Drosophila melanogaster: one gene and its partners. The protein of the gene in region 2 interacts with the protein of the main gene of each other region in a pairwise test. Each region holds a gene or a part of one and is shown on either strand. Other genes may lie near its edges.

Region 1 (4,261 bases), on a different chromosome or scaffold from region 2:
TTCGCAGCATTTTCCCAAACGTACCTATCACAATTATAAATAATAATGGACTAATATGAATACACAACTGAGGAAATATAATTGAATTGTATTGAAACGAGAACATATAAAAGGCAACGCTGAATTACGACATGCATAATGCTATTAATATACACAATCGTACACATAATTATTTAAATGTAGGTCAATTAGCCAGGCAATTAAAAAGGAAAGCGGTTGAAGTCAAATATTTGATCATGTTGATGAATGTTTTTAAAAATGAAATTGCAATACAAGTCAATGGATAAAATTATACGCAATCGCTGGTTGAATTTAATGTCTATGAAAACTTCAAAAGTTATTGAAAAATTCGCATAGCTCTATTCACAATTATAAATATTGATAATAAACTTACTAACCCGAATGAACAACGACGTAAAAATGTTAATAGAGAGTACTATATAATCTAGACGAAAACGATCCCTGCAAAATTGTACAAAAGTATATTTTAAGTTATTAGCTTTTAGTTGTTATTATCTATTTGGTACGGTATGGTTTAAAGTTCTTTTATCATTATCGCTAAGTTCCCCAATAATTCCACACAAGTTGTTTGTACATTTCGCGGTGCTATATGGATGTGTGTATGTAAATTATTTGCTCTCAAGTTTTCCCCTAAGTTTGCGCACCCACAGAAGAAGTTAAGCGAAGTCAAAGTATATATATATATATACATATACATATAGATACTGACAGATATGTCGGCTTATAATTGCTACTGCACCAGGCATATAGGCACGCATACCTCCGAAAGTGGGAGGGAAAAACATTATATAACAAGAACACACTCAACAAATATTTATTGCATATATATATATATATATAGAGATATACATAAACATATACATACATACATACAAACTGTACGTCATAATATGATAAGAGTTGAAGACGATAAACTGCGACCGAGAAATGTTATCAATAAAGATTATAGTTGAAAATTCAAATGCGCCATTGTTTCCATTGTAACATCACGAAGGTTTTACGGAACCAGGAACTGGACGACTGGTCACTTACTGCCCAGACTTATGACGAATCTCGCTGCCAATTGGCGGCTAAATTCAAGATCAATGCTAAGGGGCGGAATCTCCAACGCCGTGAATCACAATGAGTCCAACATATAGATATTAACTTTGATTTGTATTCCGGCCCGACGCCTCTGGAATGACAAATAGACCCAGAAATCGACGTAAATGCTGGCACTACGGGCGTGGGAGTGTTCATAGATGTATCGGGTGAAATGTGGAGCATTCGATAACTTTCTAAAAGAGTCTTATCACAGCCCGATATCACATTAGCATAATCGTGACTCTTGTGGCTCAGTGGATCGCCCACAAGTGCTTCAGTGATAGCCAAATTTGGATTGGCTATAATTAATACACAAAAAAAGTTTTATATACAAGTGGCCAAATTTGAACAATTTCAACACGGTTAGATGTCTCTCATGTTAGATTTTCCAGCAAGGAAAACTAAATTTAAATTGACTACTATACTTAATATTTATATAGTATAGGCAAACTTTTTAGTAATTTTTTTTTTAATTTTAATTTATTATATGCGTAAATTACGCTTGCTTCACAAGTTAGTAATTATTATACAGATATTTTCCCAAGTGTAATGGCTAACAAATACGTTAATCTGTGAGGTTTTCGCACTGCCGCACAACGCACTCAATGGGGTTCAATTCGACGACGACCGCAAAATTAACAACATTTTGTCACATTTACTGGCAATTAATGTACGTTAGCAGCTATTCCGGACCAACATCGGCCCGACTAATTACAATATGCTCAAGAAACAATCGACCTATGAACGCGGTGGCTTATGTACATACATATGTAAATTGGTAGTTGGTATGAAAAACCTGAATTATCATTAACCGATCAGGTTTATGGCGTTGAGCGGCGATGATGCGCGCAAAAGTAACTCAAAATCTGAGTGACTAAGGGAGCAGCAGATAAAAAAAAACCCCGACATGCGACATTGTCCAAGTATTAATTGTGCGGAATAAAGTGACTCGACCCGCGAGATTTAGTCGATTTTGTGCGGCTAAAGAGCGAGGTTCAAGCGAAACGTTCCACGAAAGATATATACGGCTAAAGTGGTGCAGTTGTCCAAGGAATCCAGAATAGCAGTATGTTAGCCTCAGTTGCCGCCCGTGTAAGTCCAGAGAGCGTAAATTGATGGCCCCAACCCCATTTCAATCGCATATTTCAACCAGCTGGCGCTGTTCGCTGTGATAAGCACCCAGAGTCTGCAGCTCCTCCAGGCTGCTCCGTTCCCAGGCATCGAGAATGCGTCAGTATCCGTATCTGTTAGTCCCGTATTTTCTCTTCACTTCACCTGGTTTTTTCCCCTTTGTTATTTTGCTCCGGTTTTCAGTGCCTTCACCAGTGACGATTTATTGGCCGAGGAATCGTCGCCCGTTGTTAGCCAGGTCCACGTCCAGCACAATCGGCATCGTCGCCATCACGAGGATGGCAATTACCATGGGCACAGACACCATAAGCGGCACTGGGATCACCATTTTCCGGGTCCAGACTGCCATCACCCTGCCAGATTCGGGTTTGGATTTGAGCATGGAGGACCACCTCCCCAAGGCCACCACCACAGATTCGAGCCACATGACTTCCAACCGTTTCCAAATGCCTTTGGACCACCGGAATATGAGGAGCACCGGCGGCCATTTGAAGCGCCACTGGAGCCTTTTGAAGGTAAGTGTTATTTTTGTACAAAAATTTTATATTTTTGTATCTAGTTTGTTTTGGTAAATATTTAAATTAGATCGGGTCAGAGTATTAAAGTTGGTATATTGCAAAGTGTTGAAAGAAATTATTACACCATCACTTGTTTATTTTTCAAGTTGGTCTACAGCTTTCTTTTCCTATCTCTCTGATAACAATGTTTGTCAAGTTTTTAGGGTAAATATAATAGAGTAAATAAAAATAGAGCGCGAAGTGTTTGTTTTAATTTTAATGACAATGTTAACATACTTTATTTTGTGTATCTGAATCATTTACTCATCTAGAGTATCCAATTATGTATTACACATATTATACTTACAAATCCATTAAAACTTCACATCTTATCAAAACACTTATTCCTTTTAGAAAATAAAGGGGGAATCAAGGAGCTTACAAAGCAAGCGAGCTCAAGCAGCTTAGCTCCACCACCCGCAGCTCCAGTAACGCCTTCCTCACGCACCAGCACCACCACCACGACAACCACCAGCACCACCAGATCGACTACCTTGGCACCCACCTCTTCCAGCACCGAAGAGGCACCCTTGGCCATCGACATACGCATCGGCTGACGAACCTAGACCTAAGGCTCCATTCTATCTTATGCATTAAAGTGACATTAAAGTTGCTAGCCAAACCACAAGTTATCTATCCATTACCATTATAATCGGCCAGGCGAAGCCTGGATGCGCACAGCGTAACCATATCCAGGCCACTTACAGGGATCTTCTTTTAGGGCTGTCTGCGCTAAAATATATGGTAATTCTAGAGCATAAACAACGGCAGGGGGTGACAGTAACACAAAATGCGAATGCAAAACAAACGGAAAGAAAGTGGCAAGACAACCTACCAGCTAAACTGATCTGGAATTGAGCACACTCAGTCAGCAGAAACAAAACAAAAGCCCCACTTTGCCCCACTCCTACCCGCGACCATTCCCGCAAAGTTGCGATTCTTCGGAGAATCGCACCTCTCACGCACTCTACGCAGGAACAAAGGCGCAATCCAAGAACCGGACTGCAAAAAAAAAAGAGTGTTTCGAGACCGACTCCCACTATAAAAGTCGAGCCGATCGAGAGCTTCACTGTCATTTGACGCCAAACGCGCGTCGCACGCAGAAGTCTCGAGATTCCCCCGATTTCACAATATAGTATATATATAGTTATATATTCAATTCTTCGCCGGATCGTCGTTTCGTGGAGGAGCATTTAGAAATGGGTAAGCCGCACTGTGCATACAAAGTGCAAATCGGTGAATGAACTTGAGGCGTGCAGCGTTATGGACACATAACCTTAGCCGGTCCAAAAGTATAAGACCTAACACACTGGAACGATAAGAGACTCGAACTACATTCAATTAAAAATGCGCGTCACGTCGATCTCAAAAACAAGTCTTAACGGGCAACGGGAGAGGCTTTAACGATTCTTTTATTTGAAAACAAAAACGAACATAACAAGCTGTTGTATTCCTGAAAAGTCCAAGGA
Region 2 (5,773 bases):
GCGTTCTTCTTGTTGGTCTCCAGTTCATTCGCCCAGGAAGAGCATAATTTGTTGCCGAGCGACTCTTTGCACAAAATAGAGATATGAGGATGTATATATGAAAATATTATTATATATACACCAAAAACACTTACCGGCCCTATGCTCTTTCAAGGCCCTGTAAAGGTCCTTTGCACCCAATGTGACCTTTTGCCCCTTAATAAAAGTGGGAATGGTATACCTGAATTATTTGAAAAAATTGTTCACACTTGAAAAATATGTTGGCGTCGCACGTTTGCACTATCTTACCAAAAGGATAACGCAGAAAAAATATTCGATCGTTCTCGAGGATTCTCCGGGAGATCTTCATTCTTAAAGGACTGCATTTTATTACGATTACTACGTTATGTTTCGCTACATAACAAATATTATGCAAGTGAAACAATCCAGACAGCAAGAAATAAATTTGAATTAATGATTTTCTAATCAATAAGTAATTAGCCATTAAACAGCTTGTCTAAAATGGGACAGAATACGATTGTCGAGCTACCCGACTATCAGATACCTGCTACTCAGGTAAAATTTATTCCACACGCCTTCAACGTCACTGGCACTTTAAAATCTTGAACTTCTACTATAATATAATGACCAGCATTTTTGGTCTTCTGCAAAGAAGTCGTTACCAAGAATCTAAAGCTTTTTGTAATTTGTTGACGTAGGTTTCCGAGATCTCGACGCTTATATGGACAGACATAGTCGGATCGAATGATCAAAAATATTTATACCTTCTAGGCTTGAAGTCACTTGCACTTTTCAACGTATAACATGCTTTCCAACGAACTAATTTATTAAATTGCAATGCCAGAAATTCAACTAAACAGCAATACGTCCGCGCGTAGAAAAGATCTTAAAGGTACTGAGTGTGAGCAACATGATTAGCTCTCGGTGCTAAATTCGCCGGAGATAACCCAGATTAGATTTCGGTTATATTTTTTGAAGATAATGGCTTTATGTTGAATACCAGTCTGGTTCAAAAAAACCTTAAATGATATGCTAAAGATAAAAAGATATAAAAGTATGTACTTACTATTTGTACTTTGTTTTATTGAATCATTTTGTCTAGACTTCAACTTAAACCTTAATAACATAAAACACCGGCATGTGCAGAATTTAAGAAGTCGCCCAAATACAATAAATAATAATAATTTTTATTAAGACACTGAGAGAAAAATTAAGTTTCGATATTAAATTAGGAACGAACGATAAAAAAAAAAAAAACTTAAAAGCAAACACATAAGTTCAAGAACGAGTAACCGAAATTATAAACTTGAGAACGAACGTTCACATATAAACAAAAGTCTCACTTCAATCCTCAAGTATCGTTAAGATATATGACTTGTAGTTAAGGCACATTGTTTATATGTTATTAGCCAGAAAATTGGGCAATACAGCTTTACATATATAATTGTACACTTTCCTCGTAGAATATAAGGGTTAAAAACTATGAAACAAGAAAGTGTTTTTGACCCTACAAATGTGTATTTATTCAATTAAATCTGGGTATCTGATAGGAATTGAGTTCTTTCTTGTTAGTTCAAATTACATTATTTTTTTTATCAATGGAACTATAGTCAATCCATAATCAAATGGAAAGTTTGTCGAACCTGTAAAATCTGGAAATTGAGATTATTCATGCAGTTTTTGGTGGCGCCTTTTATTTTTATACCCTTGCAAATGGTACATTGATTTCATTCAGATTCGTATATTCAACAGTAGAGTCGATACAGTCATGTTTGTCTTCGTTCAATTTCAGTTAGTATACATATAGGTTGGACCACTATATCATATTGCTGTTATAGGGATAATCGAAAAATAATGGTAAGTATTAATATATGTATGAGATATACAACAGTTTTTGACCATATTTTAATTTGATGAAAATCAAAAGAAAATATATCATATAACTGCCGTACAGCCAAGGCAAACCAAATTTTAATTAAAGTATTTAATTATCGTTATAATTGTGTTCAATTATCCGCCGGCTAGATCGGAAACAGGAAGTTACTGTTGATGTATATTCGTTTAAGGAAATACGGTAAGAACGTTGGCAGCATGGGTTAATTTTTCAGCTTTTGCAAAAGCTCCAAAGTAAATGCAGGCTTGTGGTAACTATCATCGCATGTGAACAGCGTTGTACACACACACACTTGCACATTTACACCTGGGTATTGAAGTTATCAGCTAAAAGAGAACTGACTTCCTCCGATTGTACATATATATATATATATATATATATATGTATACAAACATATATATGTGTGTAGAGCAGATAACCACTGCATGCGGAGAAGAGCTTGGCAGGTGTTAGTGAGTTCAGGTGAAATTGATTATGCGAATGGGGGTAAAAAAAATATGGCCAAACAGTGAGGGAGCCAGTTAAAAAACGGTGGTCGATCCAGCCGGTCCGACATTTCAGTTGAGAAGCCAGAAAGAATAGAAAACCGAGAGCCATGAGAGAATACAGCCTGTGTATGATTGTGATAGCAGCTTTCATTGCCAGCCAGCTGGACAGCACCTCAGCCCTCCGTAGGTTACCACATTTTGGATGAGTTTTTTCAAATGACTTACTTCAAATTATTATTGCCATTGCAGAGTGCTATTCGTGCACATCGACGACGAATGACACTGGAAATTGTTTAACGAGTCCATCTACTCAAACTTCTATAGAGTGTGATAATGAATGCTATACTCTTATTAACGCAGGTGGGTTTGTATGACTCATGACCGACTATTTCATATTCTTAGACGGGGGTAGTGGCCCTCTTATCGATCAGTGCAACCAAAGGTGATAAGCGATTATCTCTTTTTCTTTTTGATAGCTATTGATCCTTGTTTTCTTTTCTAATTTCGTGCGGATCGAAAAAGGTTTATGATGTTGTGACTCATTTGGCAGTTACTGCACTACCTGGCTTTTTCGTGTTGTTGTCTAAGATTTAAATATTGCGTATAATTTGATTTAATAACGAAGAGAACGCTAAAGTGGAGTCACTCGACCATCAGATACCTCTTTATTCAGCTTGTGGGAGTTTAAGGTACACATTTAAACATTCTGTTGAAGTATCAGTAGAATCTGGCACGCTTTGTGGGCTTTAGAGTGGGCGTGAAAATGATCTGAATGAAATTAGCACAGCTTAGGCGCCACTAGAATCTGCAGGCTCTCAACTTATAAGGAATATATAAGTTATATTAGAAATCATTATAAGTTTATATTAGAAATCATACGAAGTTTTGCTCTGAACCATATTCCCTTGCATCTAGTTATTGATTTTCTGTATCCCAATAGGAACTCTAACTCGTGGCTGCTTGATTAATGGCACTGCGTGCACCTTACCATCCTGCTCGACCTGCAAGGAAGACAATTGCAATTTGAATTTGGTGTGCCAGCAGTGCCTCGGCGAAGCGAATTGCGCCACGACCAACGTGACGGATACGCAATACAATGCAGTGTGCCCCAATAATGGACAGGTCTGCGTGAATCAGTTGAATGACAACAAGACGGTGACCCGTCAATGTGGTGACCCCTGTGCTGCTGGAACGGAATCCACGTGCTCCTCATGCTCGGCATCCCTGTGCAATGTGGGACTATTCCCCGCCAATCGTCGCCAGTGCTATAATTGCTCAGGAGAGAACTGCAATGCGGTCTCAAATACCTTGGTCGCGGGATGTAGTCAAATCGATGCCGGGTGCTTCACCACCGGAACGTCTGCGAGCAACATGACCCGTGGTTGCACATCGGCCACCACGGAAATCAAGTGTGCGTCGGACAGCACTGATCCCAGTTGCCTCGTCTGCAACTCCGACTTTTGCAATAGTCCGACCTACGAACGAGAGGCCGGTTCCTGTATCATTTGCGAGAACTGTGCGGAGCAACAGGTTGCTACCAATGCGAAGTCCTGCGGACAGGCCAAGTACAACCAGGAAGTCGGGTGTTATACCATGACCTCAGGAACCAATGTTACCCGAGGGTGCCTAAACACCTTGGAGGCTGGCTGCTCTACAACCAATGCCTGCACTTCCTGCTCCGAAAATGGCTGCAATGTGGCTGCCGGCGAGTTCCAGTGCATTACATGCATTTCGAATGAGGTTTCCGGCTGCTGGTCGGCCAAATATCCGGACACGCTCCCTTTGATCAACTGCCCCAATGGAACGTGCTACAGCGGAGTCTGGAGTAAGTTGGTACCAAGTCTAAGCACAGCGAATCAATGCTATAGTTTTCAAAGATTTTATTTTATAATGTAAAAGGGTATTCCCAAATTGCATTATTATTATGCCAGCAAAAATCCTAACAATTGCCTTTCAACATTTTCCCCCAGATGAACTTGGAGTGCGAGGATGTTTTACCGCTGCCAGCCACCTGATGCAGTACCAGTGCAATGCCAAAGTGGAGGCCCATCAGTGCGAATTGTGTACGGAGAGCAAGTGCAACAAGGTACCCTTCAATGGAGCAGGCGCACTCAGGAATGTGGGCGTGGTCGGCCTTCTGACGGGAGTGGTGATCGCTCTACGCAGTGCCCTGTAATCCAACCACCTCCACGTAGTTGGATGATCCAATCAAATTACCGGGTGCCTGGGTCTATGAGTAATGTTAACTATTACAAAGCAACAGACAAAAAGACATAACCTAATTATAGGAGCTGAAGCATTTTAAGAACACTTCCATAATCCCAAATAAATCATTTTAATAAAACAATTACTCTTTCACAGTAGTTTAGTAATTATGTCCTTGGAAAACCCTGTTTTCATTGATGGCTAGTGGTAAAAGAGTTTTCAACCTGCTAGGCCTTATCAAATAAAGAAATAATCACAACGCCTTATCAACCGCAGTACCATTAATAATATACTTTGTACATATATGTGTGTATATTTATTGCATCAATCAAAATGAGAGTTTATATTAACAATAGTTCGAAGAAATTTGTTTGGGTGCACTAGAAGAGCCAGTTGGAAATGTCTCAGAAAGTATTTGTAGCATTCTTAGGTAACTCAAATTACATTTTCCATTACATGACGATGGTGATTTCGCCGAATTCCATAATTTTGGTTTTCAATTTGCCATTATTAAGCTGAACAGGCCTATAATATAATCATAAGTTTGCATTTTTCACTCCTAAAGAGCCAGCCGGCTAAACAGAAGATCATTAGACTTGAGTATATTATTCGCGATCCTGCATTCGTGGCCAAACCATTTTTATCTATTTCCACATAGTTGCAATCGTCTTCGAAACACCTCTCACAGAGTTCTGCATGTTTCTCGCAGTGTTCCAGTGAACTCTCGTCCATGTCGGAAATGCAGCTTCTCACCATAAAGCCATCTGGTCCTCCAGCACTGCTGTTGAAGTTGAAGTACATAGATACGCAACCGTTCAATTCGCCTAACTTTATGTGGCACATCTTTTTGCCCTTCCTAGTTCTGGTTTTCCCCTCATTGGGTGAGCAAAATTTACAACTGAGGCATCTTATAGGCGGAGAAAGCGTTGTTGTTTCCTCGACAGGTGACGAACTTTCCTCCATTCCGGTGGTATGGTCTGAGCTCATAGTGGACTTTACGGTGGGTAACACTGTACTTGTTTGCTGCTGGTAAAGTCCCTGGACTTCGAGGACTGACAGTATAGTAAGTAGAATAATATTATTGGAAAGCAGACACATTCTTAAACAAAACGTATTTAATTTCTAGATATATTCAATTTTGGTTCCGCTGATCCGTGCTTATAGACACGCTTCGATGACTTAGCCA
Region 3 (5,184 bases), 7.5 Mb from region 2:
TTTATTTGTCGGACAGTTTCTTCTTGCCTCTCATGGCATTTTTATTCCGCTCTTATTTTTTGCAAATTTTTTTTTCACATTTTTATGGCGCAAATTGCCAGAAGAAAAAGAAGTAGCAAGAAAAGTGAGCGACGCAAAAACAAATTCCCGCAAACTAAATGTGTTTGTGGTGTTTGATAGCGTCAGCAATGTTGCCGCTTGGGTGGTTCACCCTTTGGCCACCACCCACTTTGAGCCGCCCCGCTATTCCGGGCCACTTTTTCGTTCTCCTTCGAGGAAAAGCGCGAGCGAGTGGGAGAAAGCAGCAGCAGCAGCAGCAGGTGAAGTAAATGGCAATAAAGGAGAAAAATTAATTTTATCCTTTCCATTTCCGTTGTTGCGCGCATCAGTGTGTGTGCGGTTTTCCTTCTCACTCTTTCCTTGGCCGTGTGGGTGGCAGTTTTTCCCGCACATTTTTTTTAGTTTTCTTCAGCTTTTGCATTATTTTAACGTGTGCTCTTTTTTCCCACCCTCACCTCGACTCTATTTTTTTTCCTTCGTTATAAATCTTGAGGTTGAGCACTCGACTGGACGCCATTTTTTATTTTTCACCTTCAGCCCCCACCCACCTGAACCCCACCCTTTACCATTCCCTCCCCATTCCCCCTTTTAGTCGGACGTCGCTTATTTTTCAATTCTGTCAGCTGCTTTGGTCAGAAAATGTCGCTTGGGAGCGGTCGACGGCATCCTTTTCTCCGATTGCAAAAGTTGAGATGGGATGTGTGGGGTATATATGCTTGTATGCTATCTGCAAAATAATTTATAGATGCCTCAACCAAAATGGACAGAGTAAAGGGTTCCGTTTCCTTATTTACTTTTTTATTGAGACTCCGTTTTTTTTTTCATTTTAGATACTGAAATTCAAGAAGGCACGTTGTATAGTGGATCTCAAGGGGGTTTTAGATAAAGAATCACTTTTACAAATCAATTCTGGACATTAGATACAATAGAGACTTCAGAAACAAGCAAGTGTTTCTTAAGAATTTACGGTAGAGAACTATAGCATTACATTCCTTTAATTTTGTCATGGGTATTCTCATATTTGTACTAATGTCTATGATGTCCATGATGTTCGTGGTGTCCATGGTGCTCATGATGTTCACGGTGATGATCGCCATGATGTTCCGGATATTCATGAGGATTTTCGTGAAAATGACCGGACTCAACTGGATTAGTTCCATGGAAATGGCCAGATCCCACAGGACTTCCGTAACCAGGCTGATATTGGTTTGGAGAACCTTGTCCAGCGAATCCTCCTTGACCCGGGTGGACTCCGCCTTGACCAATTCCCACCTGGCCACCAACTCCACCCTGTCCAGTGAATCCTATTTGTCCACCAAAACCTGCTTGCCCGCCGATTCCTCCGAATCCTCCAAATCCTCCTTGCCCTCCATATCCTCCTTGTCCAACTTGGCCGAATCCATTCTGAGCGTTCACAGCGGTCACCAGTGCAAACAGAGCAATCTATAGTTATAAATTTGTTATTATAAAAATATTTCTAAGTTAGTTAAGATTTCTATAGTAGAAGACGCACCAGTAGTTTCATCGTGGCTGAAGTTTCGGTACTGAGGCGGCTCTAATATTTTTTTGATTTTTATACCACGATTTGGTAATATCAAGTAGGTAGCTGAAAGGTATTCTACCTGGCTGAGGGACTTAAGTTTGAGTCTCTACCTGTAAAAGGAAATCACAGAAAAGTATTGCCGTCAACATCTGGTTACGATGGAAAATAAAATAAACCAGTTTATTGGAAGAGGGAAAATGGAAAAACAGAAAAATCCGGAATTGAATAGAATACTAATACTAATTCAGTACCATATTGAAATGACGGAAATATAAAGGAGTTTTTAAATTATTTGTTTATTTATATTTATTTATTTGATATTTGAAAAGTTTTTATCAACATAACATTACTCGATTTTTTTGATCAGGAAAATCCGGATAATATAAAATCATTAATAAGACATTACTCAGATACAAGATATAACATAGTGACTTTACCTTTTTTGAAACATTTTCTACTGTTGTCTAAATATCAATGATTTCGTATTTATTTTTTCCAGGTATTTCATCAGTAGGAACTTCGCCACCGGGAATTGGAGATTGGAAGCTGCCATGCTGATCGTCGTTTGAGGTTTCGTTGTGAGGTCTTTCGGTACCAGGAAATCCACTTTGAGGTGGACCGCCTCCTGGGCAACCGCAATGCGGACACCCTCCTGCTGGAGATCCAGATGGTGGGGGGTGGTGTGAAGAAGGAGGCGGAGGTGGCGGAGGAGGATATCCCTGCCAATGGTGGCCACCATACAGATATCCCCCTGGTGGTGGATAATGGGGCGGTGGTGGAGGTGGACCGTATCCCTCCCAAAAGTGACTTCCATGTCGATGGGGGCGATGAGGCGGTGGTGGAAAAGGCTGGTGCTGGTGTCCGTGTCCACAGCGTCCACCAGCACCATGTCTGCCACGATGGTGATGATGGTGACGAGGGGGAGGTGGACCTCCGTGTGGGTGATGTCCTCCTCCAGAAAATCGCCGACAGCCCATCTGATCGAGTCTCAGATGAATTTAGAGCAACGATCTGAAAAGATGTATGACTAATATTTTTGAGAACAAGATGCATTTGAATCTTTTTATATGCAAAAATTATTATATATGTTTATACGTCCGTTGTACATACATATGGTAAGCTGATAAGAATATTTTCTATGTATATATTCATTGACTTACATTTTTTCCTATTTCTATCTTAATGGAAACAATATACAGTAAATAAATGTTTGTTTTGCAACTGGTTTATTTTAGCGTACTTATTAATACGTCATTTATTTGTTGCTTTTAATAGCTAAAACAAGTTAGAATTCGATTTGTTGACGCAGTGGCCGAATTCATTGATATATATAAGTCTGGATATTTTTTTCTCTATCAATAAATATTTTAAAGAATAATTCCTAATACAAGTAAAGGCAAAAAGAAAAACCAGCGCACAATTAATTGCTTTGAATTTTGTTGTTTTGAACACAAGAATTGGATCAGCTGCTTAAATGTTATTTACAATTTAGAGTGGCATTGTATTTGGTTGCCAAAAAATAATATATAGGTTTATTTTTGGAAGAGTTGTTTGTTGATAACATATCGCCGCCAAAAATACTACAAGTTCAAATGCTTATGAGATTAAAAGTAAATTCGGAGGTGAAAAGCAACCATTTAAATAAGCAATATTGTTAAACTTTAAAACTGTGAAAATTATATTTGATTATCTAATTACATTTTCAATCTATCTCTTTATTTGTGGAGTCTAGTGATAACCAAAGAATTAAACAACTAAATCGTCTTAATTTCCGAGAAGCTGCTTAGCTATTATTATGCCTACGCTTGCCTTAAGTATTTATCCTTGAGTAAGGAAATCCTTCTGGGCGGAAAGAAAATCCAGCGGCATAAAGTTATGTGCCCAGGGCCAAAATTTTAATTCCAAATTTAATTTTCAGCCATTTTCCTCATTTTCCCCGGATGAATTTGTCAGGGCGTGTCGCATTCGGAAACCACTCGCCGGGGAATGAAGTGGAGACAAAGACATCTCGGGAAAAGGAAACATTTTTTGGCTTATGCCAAAATTACATCAAAAAGCGCTGCGGGTATGTAGGTATGTAGACAGACGTGGCAATTCCCATCTTAGGATTGAGTAAAGTGGCAAAAGGACGAGGGGCAGGCTGGAGCTGAAGGATTGCTGAGCCTTGGAAGTGGCAGGGAGTGAATGTCGTGAAGATATGCCAGGACCCTTGGAGAAAAGTTGAGCGGACCGAGGAACAGGGTTTGGTGATTGCTATCTTCATAATGACTTTGAAGTGTCAAACAATTTTGGGGAATTATCAACGCCCGCCTCGTCTTTCGCAAAGGTGAAAATGAAAATTGTACTTTTTGTTTGACTCAAACTTGATGGGGCCAAACTGAAGATATAATTATAATTTAATTGAAATGAAATTGTCGCTTAAGTCGAGTAGAAAAGGAATGGTATTGCGGCATTGGTAGACTCCAGGGGTAAAGCTCTCAACTTAATATTTTGCTGGCTAAAAATTTGGGCAGATGCGAAATACTCTTGGCTGAGCTGTAAAAGTGAGTCAATAAAATACACAACTATTTGCGCACCAATTTAATATGCCACATAGGCAAGTTAAAGGAGTTCGCCCAGCTCAAGTTTTCCGAGGGATGCGACAAAATACATTGGGTTGACAGAAGCCCATGAAGGGCCAAAAAGAAAAGCACACCGAGTTTCTGAACAGGTCCGAACAATGTCCGAGGAAAATCAATTTAATTTTTACTCATGTTCATGGCGTGACCCCTCGATAATCCATGGAAAAGGGGACGAGGTCGTCCTGCTGCTGAGCCGCCTGAGGTGGAAATTTCACTTAAGTCACTTTCAACTTTCGCAAGATGCCATCAAAGTTGGCTCCAAAGTTACTGGTCAGTTGATTTTTCCACCTCCTGGGGCGGCGGCCATTACCACCGATATTTACATTTTACCCAACCCACGGGGAAAACCTTTTCTCGAACACGATCTCCCCCAGCGCTCTCCAAACTTATGAAAAGTTTCGGTGAATTTGCGATAATGCTTTTTTTGGCTGGTGGTATATACATTTAACTTCAGCGCACGTGTGTCAGCTTTTCATCATATACTCTTCACAATTTTCAAACCGTGAAGTGCTTTTTCATGAGACCAGAAGAAATGAGTAAAGTTTTTTTTTAAAATAATTTTTTATATATTTTTTATCCCAAGAGCTTCAAGTTCTATTATAATGCCCAAAAATGTAACGTATGTTTAAGTTAGTTCATATACGAATATGCTCCTAAAGCATATATTTATGGTGTTGTCGTATGTACAACAATGTATGTGCATATGAAAAGGTTTTGTGAAAAACAATTCTGGTACCCACTGTGTGCCGCTAAGGGAAAACAAAATGGCATACTTGTACTGTATGGAAGATGATGATGAAATTGGAAAATCTGACCGAGACAGGATACCGAAAGGGGTGTGAACGTCGGGTGGCTGCCACTTACATGACATGACAATAACTTTGACTTGACCATTCGACCGTTGCTCATATCTGAGTATCCTTCCCAGCTGCCCACCACTCCATATTCAGATCCTTCTGC

What was found. Proteins that work in one complex are often made in the same cells at the same time.
Region 1: the proteins of CG10650 (region 2) and CG9312 interact in a two-hybrid assay, tested with the Drosophila melanogaster proteins (one large-scale study listed by BioGRID).
Region 3: the proteins of CG10650 (region 2) and sala interact in a two-hybrid assay, tested with the Drosophila melanogaster proteins (one large-scale study listed by BioGRID).

What each region holds. Positions count from the first base shown.
Region 1 is NT_033777.3:13,763,688-13,767,948, forward strand, and holds CG9312 (uncharacterized protein), read left to right. Parts: upstream 1-2,068; 5' UTR 2,069-2,172; coding exon 2,173-2,196; intron 2,197-2,257; coding exon 2,258-2,334; intron 2,335-2,418; coding exon 2,419-2,750; intron 2,751-3,146; coding exon 3,147-3,349; 3' UTR 3,350-3,416; downstream 3,417-4,261. Other genes in the region: Cht5 (chitinase 5), read left to right, coding at 3,992-3,995.
Region 2 is NT_033779.5:18,992,571-18,998,343, reverse strand, and holds CG10650 (uncharacterized protein), read left to right. Parts: upstream 1-2,409; 5' UTR 2,410-2,489; coding exon 2,490-2,565; intron 2,566-2,631; coding exon 2,632-2,742; intron 2,743-3,322; coding exon 3,323-4,207; intron 4,208-4,352; coding exon 4,353-4,558; 3' UTR 4,559-4,984; downstream 4,985-5,773. Other genes in the region: CG31792 (uncharacterized protein), read right to left, coding at 1-64, 135-220, 289-365; CG46465 (uncharacterized protein), read right to left, coding at 5,113-5,685.
Region 3 is NT_033779.5:11,482,611-11,487,794, reverse strand, and holds sala (spalt-adjacent), read right to left. Parts: upstream 3,089-5,184; 5' UTR 2,764-3,088; intron 2,615-2,763; 5' UTR 2,581-2,614; coding exon of another isoform or gene 2,068-2,580; 5' UTR 2,041-2,067; exon of another isoform or gene 2,012-2,040; intron 1,714-2,011; 5' UTR 1,586-1,713; coding exon 1,574-1,585; intron 1,504-1,573; coding exon 1,087-1,503; 3' UTR 846-1,086; downstream 1-845. Other genes in the region: CG43355 (uncharacterized protein), read right to left, coding at 2,068-2,580. UniProt on the Drosophila melanogaster protein: Likely to be involved in the establishment of the head.